Macaca fascicularis: one gene and its partners. The protein of the gene in region 3 interacts with the protein of the main gene of each other region in a biochemical or structural test. Links are inferred from orthologs where the notes say so. Each region holds a gene or a part of one and is shown on either strand. Other genes may lie near its edges.

What was found.
Region 1: of the proteins of JUN (region 3) and PRKD1, one has a biochemical effect on the other in vitro, tested with the Homo sapiens proteins (2 studies listed by BioGRID). The link is inferred for Macaca fascicularis from reciprocal best matches to the Homo sapiens genes JUN and PRKD1.
Region 2: of the proteins of JUN (region 3) and MAPK8, one has a biochemical effect on the other in vitro, tested with the Homo sapiens proteins (76 studies listed by BioGRID and IntAct, with this or other methods). The link is inferred for Macaca fascicularis from reciprocal best matches to the Homo sapiens genes JUN and MAPK8.

What each region holds. Positions count from the first base shown.
Region 1 is NC_088381.1:97,748,649-97,752,396, forward strand, and holds the start of PRKD1 (serine/threonine-protein kinase D1), read right to left. Parts: upstream 2,615-3,748; 5' UTR 2,419-2,614; coding exon 2,155-2,418; intron 1-2,154. Other genes in the region: uncharacterized protein, read left to right, coding at 2,615-3,153.
Region 2 is NC_088383.1:57,642,007-57,645,333, forward strand, and holds part of MAPK8 (mitogen-activated protein kinase 8), read left to right. Parts: intron 1-1,365; coding exon of another isoform or gene 1,366-1,370; coding exon 1,371-1,516; 3' UTR 1,517-3,327. UniProt on the Homo sapiens protein: Serine/threonine-protein kinase involved in various processes such as cell proliferation, differentiation, migration, transformation and programmed cell death.
Region 3 is NC_088375.1:175,918,100-175,921,847, reverse strand, and holds the start of JUN (transcription factor Jun), read right to left. Parts: upstream 2,425-3,748; 5' UTR 1,447-2,424; coding exon 442-1,446; 3' UTR 1-441. UniProt on the Homo sapiens protein: Transcription factor that recognizes and binds to the AP-1 consensus motif 5'-TGA[GC]TCA-3'.

The DNA of each region.
Region 1 (3,748 bases), on a different chromosome or scaffold from region 3:
AATCAGTTAGATCTTTACCTTAACTATCCCAAACAGTCAAACTTTTCAAACTTCTTTGAGAGACAGAAGAAACTACCAAAACAAATACAAAAGGAAAGGATTCCCCTTATAAATCAGTCACCTATCAGGGCTGATGGTTTTCTCTTTCCAGTATTTCTCCCGGTCTCTCCCCCAAGAGTCTTGGCTCATGTTCCAACTGCTCATGACTGAACTCTGGTGCTCTTTCTGCCATAACATTTTTGGCATTCTAAAACCTCCACACAGCAAATCCATGTTTCAGATGTCCTTGGTATGATGTCGCTGTGAAAAGATTACTGAGGCTTCTCGCAATTTGAGTTTAATTCAAGGCCTTTTCATAACTGTACTTCCCTTAAAGACCCCAGCCACCACCTTCAGGCCTGCTGCATTCCGTAAGTGCTTGCTGTCCCTCTCCCTCTGCTCTCATCTCACTCTCTCCATGTAACACGCCTCTTGGTAGCTTCCAAGACACCTGGAATTCACCCTCCATTTTAAAATCCCACTACCAAACCTCTTGAGCCATGGATCAGTCTCTCCATCCTGAACTCCATAAGGAAGTTGGGGGCGGGGAGGAGGGAGAATTCAAGCTGGTCAAAACAAAGTCTATCAATATTACTTTGACCCAATTTGAATATTCTCTGACACTACATCACTTGCTTTAGAATTTAGAAAAGTTAAAATTGTACAGAATTACCTTTGCTTTTTGAGAAATTTTATTGTACATTGTATATGTGGTTATGAAGCATTGCTGTTTAATTAACTGGTCTGCATCCAAATGGAGAGGGTTGTATACAAGGCTTTCACAGTGCCTAGAAGAGTGCTCCTGCTTACCCACAATAGACATTCCACAATACTGATGTGGAAAAGGAGCATGATATGACTTGCATCAGCATTAGACAAAATGTGTCATTTTCTTCGAAGTTGCAAACAGTTGACATTACCCGTAATATAAAAGTAAAGTTCCATAAATAAATTCCTGGCACTCATTGTTACCTTAGTCTAGAACTTTCACAACTTTCTAGATCGGTTATTTTTTTCCACCTGGGGCTTTTAACATCCCTGTGCTCAGTGCCGCAACTCACAACCCTCAAGGTTTAGCAAACTCTGTTACACATAGTTTAAAGAAAGCAATTCATGATTATTCAAGTGATAATTGGAAAGCAAAAGGAGTGCTAGCCAGTCCTCCAGGGCTGAAAAATTCAGCACCTTTAGAGACCTCTGTCTCCACCCCCTGAAACGCTGGCTGTTTACACTAAGAAGACTGGCGCCATGGTCCCCTCTCCCTCACATCTGTATCACCCCCTTCCATGCAACATCCCTCTGGATAGCTCCAGAGGCAACCTGAAAATCCAAATTGCAACTGTAAACAGTGGTGGCTGGACTGAGTCTCCTCCGGGGGTGGCCTGGCCCCAGATAACGGCCCTTCTTCCAACCTGCCTTGAGTGGCCGCTGTCCAGAGCCCCACAGCCTCAAACTTAAGGGCACAGCCAGCCTTGGGATGTTCCTGGACATCACCCCCACCACTTCAACGTCCTACTATCAGCATCCCGGGAATGAAAAATAGGAAGGTTGCAACTTTCAGGTTTTGTCGTTGGAAAATGTGTTTCCATGTTCATACAGAGGTGGAACTAAAAGATGACAGGGCCTTGGGTAGCTGCAGTCCTGGTCAGTTTAGCTGACAGGTGAGAAATTTCTTGTCTCCAGGCCATTCCAGGGGCACTCTGGTGCAGGAAGTAGGATTCCGGCACCAGGAATGCGCTGGTCCAGGGTCCATAGGGGAAGGGGACAGAGGAGAAGAAAACTGGGAAGTCTCAAGGACAAGGAGGGGCGCGGCGAGGAAAGGGCAAGATACCTGGAAATTGTCATGAGAAGGATGGAAATGGGTGAGGAGTAGGCGGACTGGAGACAAATCGGTGAATAGAGGAAGATGGGGCGAGAGGAGGATGAGCAACAGCGAGCGCAGTGCCTCGGGCTGCAGGCGTCCAGCCGCGGCGAGGCCAGTCGCTTCCAGAGCGCCGACGAGGCTGGCCGCCGGCCGAGCCCCGGGAGCCGGAAAGTTGGCGCAGAGAGGGCCAGCTGGGCAGCGCCCCCTGCGCCGCGGGGAGGCGCCGGGCTGGCAGCGGCGCGGCGACTTACCTTCTGGTCGACGATGGAGCAAGCCATCTCGCGGACGTGCGCCAGGCTGTAGTCCCCAGACGAGTCCTGCAGCAGCAGCACTGGCTCACGGCTCAGGCCGATCTGCAGATGGAACGAGATGCCCCCGACCGGGGCCGCGACGGGAGCCAAGAAAGGCGCGGGCCCGGGCCCGGACCCTGGGACCAGTGCGGCGGCAGCTGCCGCAGCGGCTGCCGCCACGGGCAGCAGGGGGCTGGGCGGCCGCAGGACCGGAGGGGCGCTCATCGCTCAGCGGGGCGCGGGGCCGGGCAGCCGAGGGCGGGGGCCGGCGGCGCGGCAGCCGAAAAGTTTTGCAGCGGCTGAACCAGGAGCTTCTTTCTCCGAGAGCCGAGACGGAAAATAAAAACTTTCCGGAAAAGTCCCCGCGCGGGGGGAGGGCGAGGGGATGAGGATCAGGAGGGGAGTGGACTGAGGGGAGGAGATGGGGAGGAGGGAAAATGGCCGAGGCGGGAGGACTCTGCGGCCCGGAGCGCGGCCGCCGGCGCGGGGCCGCCGGCGCGGGGGAGGTGCCGCCGCCGCCGCCAAGAAGCTGCCGCCTGGCGCGCTCGGAAGGACGGGGCGGCGGGTCGGCGCGGCCAGAGCGCCGGGCGGGGGCGTGAGGGGCGGGGAAGGGGAGCTGGGGGCGGGCACTGCGGAGCCACCACCCGGCGGGCGCGGGAGTCGCAGGAGCAGTGGCCGCAGGGTGCCCGGTCGCCGCCCCCTCCGCCCGCAGTTCCCGAGGCCTGAGCCTCCGCGAGCCGGGATAGGACCGAGTGGCGGGGCTCGGAGCCGCCTCGGCAGGAGCGGCCCTTCCCTCCCTGCAGGGACTCCAGTCCTCGCGGGTCCCGCTGCCCCGACTGCGGACGGAGTGGATGGGGCGCACCTCCTCACACCCGCTTCCTGGGGTCGCGAACTTCCCGGGCCCCACGGTCCCTGCCACCTCTTCCAAATGCTCGAGGACTACGCACTTCTACAAGTGAGGTGACTTTTGAGGAATTCAAGAATGCTGATCACAGCGGTTCCCCTCGGGTCTTACCTTTGGAGGGTCAAGGGAGGATGGGTCATCCGGAAACCACTTACATCCAGGCCCCTCTGGGAGCCCTGGGGTTTGTTGCCAAAGAGGGTAGAAGCCAATCCACAGAAAGGGATTTAAACTTGTCCCTACCCTTTTTGTCGCTCTGACACGCCATTACAGCCAACCCTACCTACTCCACCCCAGCTCCTAAGGCACCGGATATACACAGTGATCTAAAGAGAGGGTCGCTTTGGAAAGAAAAGGCATTGACTGCCCAAGGGCAGGAGGAGGGTCTGACGCGGTTTCCTTTCCTTTACCTTATTCTTTGCGCCTGAAGTTTCTCCTTTGGAGCTTCAGAAACTATTTTCCTTCTCCTCTAAAGTCTGTTATATAGGAGCAGTGCTCCCACCTCAGCCCCGCCACCATGATCACAAGCACAGCCATCAGGATTGTTCACAACCTGCCCTAATTTGGATCGTTTATTTTTGTTGTTTTGGCAGGGTAGGGATTGTTTTACATTCGTTGGAGATGAATTCTAATTCTCTCCTCCCACCAGGGTGG
Region 2 (3,327 bases), on a different chromosome or scaffold from region 3:
CTAATGGACCTTTCTTGGGTCTAGGAGATTATCACCTATTTTACCTCTCATCTCTCAGGCCTGAAATACTCATCCTGCTTTTCTCTTCTGTTTCAACTCCCATCACCTGCTTTGTCTCTTGTGGTTCCATTCCTTTCTGTCTCCCAGTCCCCTCCCTAAAGATTTTCCTATTCCCACTACACTGCCTGTTTTCTTTTTGCATTTGAAGAAAAGCTCGCAGAGGACCTTTCATATTGAAGTGTTTTATTGCTTATCTGGACAGAATGGAGGGATGATCTCAAATACAGATGCTGGGTTCAGGAGCAGTGGTTTTCAGCCATATTTGGTTTCAGCATCGTTGGGTGCCTGAACCTCACCCTCAGAAATTCTGCTCAGTGTTCCATTTGAAGACCATTGATTTTATTTCATAAATGTATTCTTGAGAACTTTTAAGTAACTTGCGTTATTCAAATTTGGAATGACCCTTATTTAGTGTTCATGTGGTTTAAAAGTACTTAGCCTAGTGCATGAGTTACCTTTTTTCTCTATACCCCAGTGTAAGTCATTCCTGTCCCCTTCCTAAACCAATCCCCTTGAGAGGATTTCTGTCTCGAGCTCAGGTATTCGTGTTACTTTTTAAAATTCAGGAAGTCCTTATTAGGTAATACTTTCGGCAAAAGAAACTGTTTGCTCCTACTTTATCTATTTAATAAATCCATATTTCTACTTATCAAGTATTAGCGTAGAAATAAGAAGACCCAAGTTTACTTAACTAGGCCATTTGAGTGACACTGTCATGTCCCATAACCTTGTATAAACTGGGGCAGTTGAATTAAGGTTTCTTCCTGTTAAAATTATTTTATTCCTTGGCGCTTGCTTTAAAACAAGATGTGCCAGAAGTACATCTTGTTTCAAATTTGAATCATTTGAATTTTTCCTTTTTAGTGCAAAGCTATAAAGACTTTTTTGTAGGGAAGTAGCTTTTAACTTTTGTAGTTATACAGTCCTTTAAGATCTTCTGTCCAAAAAAAGGCATTACAGACAGTTTTGCATGTATTATCAGCAGTATTCACACGTACCCTGAAGCCCATTTGTGGATCTTGCTGCAGGACCATTTCTAAATGTGGCTCAGATGTAAATTCTTGTCTTAAACTGGAAAACACATTCATTGAAAGGATAGGACTCCACGATTCTAGACATTTTCAGAATTCTCACCTCATAGCTGTCAATGAAGAGTGTTTTTTAGTGTATTGGATATCATTTGCGATTATTTTTAGTGAGCCTTCTAAACCCAAGAGAAAAAATTACCACTAGAGGCAGGCAGTGCAGTGCAAGTAGCTCGATCTGCAGCTGTCTGCAACTGATTTGCTGTTTTGTTTCTCATAGCACAGGTGCAGCAGTGATCAATGGCTCTCAGCATCCATCGTCATCGTCGTCTGTCAATGATGTGTCTTCAATGTCAACAGATCCGACTTTGGCCTCGGATACAGACAGCAGTCTAGAAGCATCAGCTGGGCCTCTGGGCTGCTGTAGATGACTACTTGGGCCGTGGGGGGGTGGGAGGGACGGGGAGTCGGTTAGTCATTGATAGAACTACTTTGAAAACAATTCAGTGGTCTTATTTTTGAGTGATTTTTCAAAAAATGTAGAATTCATTTTGTAGTAAAGTAGTTTATTTTTTTTAATTTCAAGTGATGTAATTTAAAACCTAAGTTGTGTTTCAAAACAGCAACAAAACTGTATTGTATTTTTTGCTGTAATTAACTGTATAATGTAAACCTAATTATTTTATCATGTTTTAAATTTTTTGCATATTTGCTTTATCTTATGCTGCTGATTTTTTTAACTGAATTTGTAAGATTTTGTTTATCAAAGCAACTATTATGTGGTGACTTGCCTATATCATGAATTATTTAAGATTTTTATAGTTTTTTTTATTAGAATTTATTTCAGATGTTTTGTTCATGATACTATCCTTCAGGGTTATGTGCTTATCAATGAAATAACCCCAGAGGAGTGAGGGAAAATAACTTGTAGCCAGTTATATTCAGGAATAACTACTGTAAATGATGAACGTGTTAGGAGACCTCCAATATTTGCTACTTGCCAATCCTAATTTAGTTACAAGAATTGGTAGGCAATCCTACTTAATTTTGGCAAAAGCCCCGTCATCTAAGTGGCAGAATAACTCAGAGCATGTCTTTGAAGATGCTGGGCATCTACCACCACCTTATGTCCCCACCCTACCCAACAGAAATAAGTAAAAAGAACATGGTGTATTCTGCAAATTTGTGGCATGCTCAAAGTTTATGATCACATAAAGTCAAGAGGATACTTCATGAATAATACATTTCAATGCAAATAAACAGATGGTTCACTTCTACTAGCTATGAGCCTGTTTTTGTATACACTGAGTTAATCTACTCAGGCTGTAGGTCCCAGCAATGTTCTAGAGTCTAGTCTTTCCCTTTCCTGCAGCTTCGGGCCCTTGGACCTTTCCGGTTTCCTATTACTTGGAGTGTCTGTCAGTTGAACACCAGTTGTTCTGGTGTTTCTGGCCATTTGATTCTACTTGTAGCATAATCATATTTATACTAGCTATTGGGAGGTTCCAAAGCCTACCTAGATTTGTGTAGGTGATGTATCAAATGAGCAATATACCGTTCATCTGAAAATAGTAGCACACAGCCATATATAGGATGTCATTTTCTAAGGACTGTTTCTTCACATTGAGCAGAGCAGGCATAAATGGTGGTTATTTAGTCTGAGTCTTTTATTTTTTTATACCTGATTTTCAACATAACATGCAATGTGGATGTCGAGTAGTGTAAGAATGGTGCTGCTCCTGACAAGTGTATGTTAACTGTTTACATTTTCTATCTGCAGAATTATTTCTCTATAACTGAACTTTTCCCAAGTAAAATGTCTTTGAAGTCTCGTTATTTCTGAAATACGGTGTCTGTAATAGACCCAGGCACCTTTTAAATGATCTCTGGAACAAGAGGGATTTCATGTAATGAACTAGGAAGTGCATACTCACATAAGCAGCAAGGTTCTAGGCAGAAAGCCCCTTGGAATTCGTGACCAATGGGAAGAACAGGTGTGGCTTAACATGCAGTGTCTGAAAATTTGCTTGGCATTTTATTCATATATTTAGTGCAAAATTCCTTTTGAATGAGATATTTTACATCATTGTTAATGTGCAATATTTAAGATTAAAATACGTTAGCCTTTTTATATACTTTGAAATAGCAGGTTTGTTTTTGATGGCTTAGAGTCATGATTTCCAGCTTCCCAGCCTTTTTATCAGTCCCTTTTCTAATACAACAAGGTGCATTAATTTGATTA
Region 3 (3,748 bases):
CGCCCCTCCCCAGCCCTCCCCCCCGCTTTGTGTTCTTAATGAGTACTACAGAAGCAATCTACAGTCTCTATTGCAGTTTGTAACCCCCTCCCCCTCCCCCCTTTAATACTGAATGAGATCGAATGTTAGGTCCATGCAGTTCTTGGTCAATGTTAACGAAAAGTCCAACGTTCCGTCCGCGCGGGGACAGCCCGTCCGCAAAGCGGGGCAGCCCGCAGGCGGCCGCTCCCTGGCTCCACGCCAAGGGAGGGCGCGCCAAGTCCTTCCCACTCGTGCACACTGGGGGCGCCGTCAGGACGCAACCCAGTCCAACTTGGATACCCTTGGCTTTAGTTCTCGGACACTTCTTTTTTCTCTCCGTCGCAACTTGTCAAGTTTTCAAGTCTGTCTCTCTGTGTTATTTTTTTTCTCCGTTGCCCCTCAGCCCCCAACAGTCTCTCTTCAAAATGTTTGCAACTGCTGCGTTAGCATGAGTTGGCACCCACTGTTAACGTGGTTCATGACTTTCTGTTTAAGCTGTGCCACCTGTTCCCTGAGCATGTTGGCCGTGGACGCCAGCTCCGAGTTCTGAGCTTTCAAGGTTTTCACTTTTTCCTCCAGCCGGGCGATTCTCTCCAGCTTCCTTTTTCGGCACTTGGAGGCAGCAATGCGGTTCCTCATACGCTTCCTCTCCGCCTTGATCCGCTCCTGGGACTCCATGTCAATGGGGGACAGGGGCGGCGTCTCGCCAGGCATCTCGGGCACTGTCTGAGGCTCCTCCTTCAGGGCTTGCAGCCGCGGGTGCTGCACGGGCATCTGCTGGGGCAGGTGGTGCGGCGGCTGCGGCGGCGGCTGCTGCTGCTGGGGTTGCGCGGGAAAGGCCAGGCCGGCCGCGCCGTAGGAGGGCGCCCCGCCGCCGCTGCTCAGCGCGCCTGGGTTGAAGTTGCTGAGGTTGGCGTAGACGGGCGGCTCGCTGTGCAGGCTGGCGCTGAAGCCTCCGCTGCCGCTGCCCCCTGCCACCGAGGCTACCGCTGGAGCTACCATGCCCGCCCCGCTGACCGGCTGCGCCGCTGACGTGACGCTGGGCAGCGTGTTCTGGCTGTGCAGTTCGGCCAGGGCGCGCACGAAGCCCTCGGCGAAGCCCTCCTGCTCGTCTGTCACGTTCTTGGGGCACAGGAACTGGGTGGGGGTCGGCGTGGTGGTGATGTGCCCGTTGCTGGACTGGATTATCAGGCGCTCCAGCTCGGGCGACGCCAGCTTGAGCAGCCCCACGTCGGGCGAGGTGAGGAGGTCCGAGTTCTTGGCGCGGAGGTGCGGCTTCAGGCTCCCCACTGGGTCGGCCAGGTTCAGGGTCATGCTCTGTTTCAGGATCTTGGGGTTACTGTAGCCATAAGCTCCGCTCTCGGACGGGAGGAACGAGGCGTTGAGGGCATCATCATAGAAGGTCGTTTCCATCTTTGCAGTCATAGAACAGTCCGTCACTTCACGTGAGGTTAGTTTGGGCTGCGTGCTGAAGTTTCGGGGCCGCAACAGCGCTCTGGCAAGCGGGGGACACCCGTGCCCCCCGGGGCCTTTGGCAGGGAAAGTTTCTCTAAGAGCGCGCGCACCCGCTGGTTGTCGTCCCCGCTGCGCCCTCCTCACCAGCTCGCTCCAGGGAGCGCAGGGTTAATTAAGATGCCTCCCGCACTCTTACTTGTCGACTCGCGCGCGCGCTACCCGGCTTTGAAAAGTCGCGGTCACTCACTGAGCGCTCTTCGGGCGCCGCCGTTCCTTGGAGTCCGCGGGCGAACTCGCTTCCCAGAGCAGCGGCTCTCCCGGCGGCGCGGATCAGTGCCGACCCGCAGAGGCCGACCAGCGGCGGGTCTCGGCCGCCCAGACTCCGACGACTTGTCCCCTCCTCCGCTGCGAGGGGGAGGGGGCGCCCGGCAGCCGCGGCTCGCGCTCGCCCAAGTTCAGCAACCGGTGCGAGCGAAGCTGAGCGCACGTCCTTCTTCTTTTGCGTGGCTGTCCGCCGCCTCCTGGTCTTTACCGCCGCCGAATAGCCTAAGACGCAGGAAAGGCTTGCAAAAGTTCGCTCCGGGACTCTGGGCCAGTTGTCTCCGGCCCTCCGGGCCGAGAAAGTTCTTTGCTGCTGCAGTCGCTCGCCGACTTCCCCCGGCGGGCGCGTGGGTACCGCTGCTCGCCACCGCTGTCAACAGCGCCTGGGCAGCAGGGCTCTCCTCCTGGGGGCGGCTGGAGACCAGGCTCTCTGGGCACTCCTCGTAACACCAGCCCGGGAGCCACAGGCGCTAGCTCTGGGCAGTTGGAGAGAAGGTGGAAAAGAAAATAAGATTTGCAGTTCGGACTATACTGCCGTCCTGGCTGGCTGGTTGTGTCTGTCTGCCTGCCTGAGTCCGCGCACCTCCACTCCCGCCTCGCTGCTTCAGCCACACTCAGTGCAACTCTGAGCCCTTATCCAGCTCGAGCTCAACACTTATCTGCTACCAGTCAACCCCTAAAAATAGCCCATGATGTCACCCCAAGGCCTTCCCATTGGCTCGCGTCGCTCTCAGGGGGGCGGGCCCGCCCGTCACCATGGAGACTCCACCCTAGAAGATTCTTCTCTGGGCCCGCGGAGGCTCACGGGATGAGGTAATGCTCCGCTGCCCTCCTACAGTCGGGCCCTTCTTTCTCCTACCCTCCCCCCTGCCGCACGCCTCTCGGCCCTCTCTTCCCCGGTCCCCTCCCCGGGCCGTTTTTCCCGGCCCGCCCGGTGCATTGTGGGCTGACGTCTTGGGGTTTGACTGTCTAGTGACGGTGGCTGCCGCGAGCGGGCGGACGCTCGCAACATCTGACGGAGGGGGCTCAAGTTCACGGCTGCGGACTGGGATGCAGGGGATGCGGGGACCCGGGAGGCCAGGGAACCCGGCCAGTTGTTTTGGGTCAAGGGTGCGGGCGAGGGGTGGTTGTGTTTCCCCACTTGTGGGGCTCGAAGTCATCCACCGGCGTCCGCCACCGCGCGGGGCGGGAGGCTGAGAGTCCAGGTCCGCCGCCCCCCCGCACTTCCGGGGGGCGGGAGCGCCGCCCTTAAGGTGGCTCTGTGAAGTCCCAGTTGGGGGCGAGCCTAAGGGGGCTTAAGTTTGGGGGCGGTCTCCCGAGAGTCGGCCCCCCACGTTGAGAAACGCTGCGAAGTTTGCATCTCGGTCAAGTTCAGGAGCGATGGTCCGCGGGGTTGTCTGGCTGCTCTTAGAAGCTGAGAGATTTGTATTGCCCAAAACTGGACGCTCAGCTGAGTCTCCGTTGCACCCCACTTCATCCTCCGGGACCGTGGGGGAAAGGGCGCGGGGGATCACAGCTTTGCCTCCGAGGGGCAGTTTTTATAGTGGGCGCAATTAGTGGGTAACAGGGTCCAGATGGGAACAAGCGTGTAGGCGATCCGAAACTCGGGGAACCCCGGTGTTAGTCTACTCCCCTTCCCGCCCCCGGACAACACACACACGCTTAACACAACACGCACAACATGCGCGCGCGCGCACACACACACACACACACGCACACACTCTCCACCCGCGCCGAGTTGCTTCCGGGAAAACAAGCTCAGAAGGCGGGGGACACTCGCATAAAGTAACGCAGTAGAACTCAGGAGCCCGGGGTAGAACCTGGACTTCAAATCTCCACCTTCCCGGCCGGGTGGTGGGCCCATATCCTGAGTAGCCTCTAGGAAGCGCTAGACACATGTAAGTGGTTCCTTTTCCGCGGTTGTTATTTTATCTTCCCCCCGCCCCCCACC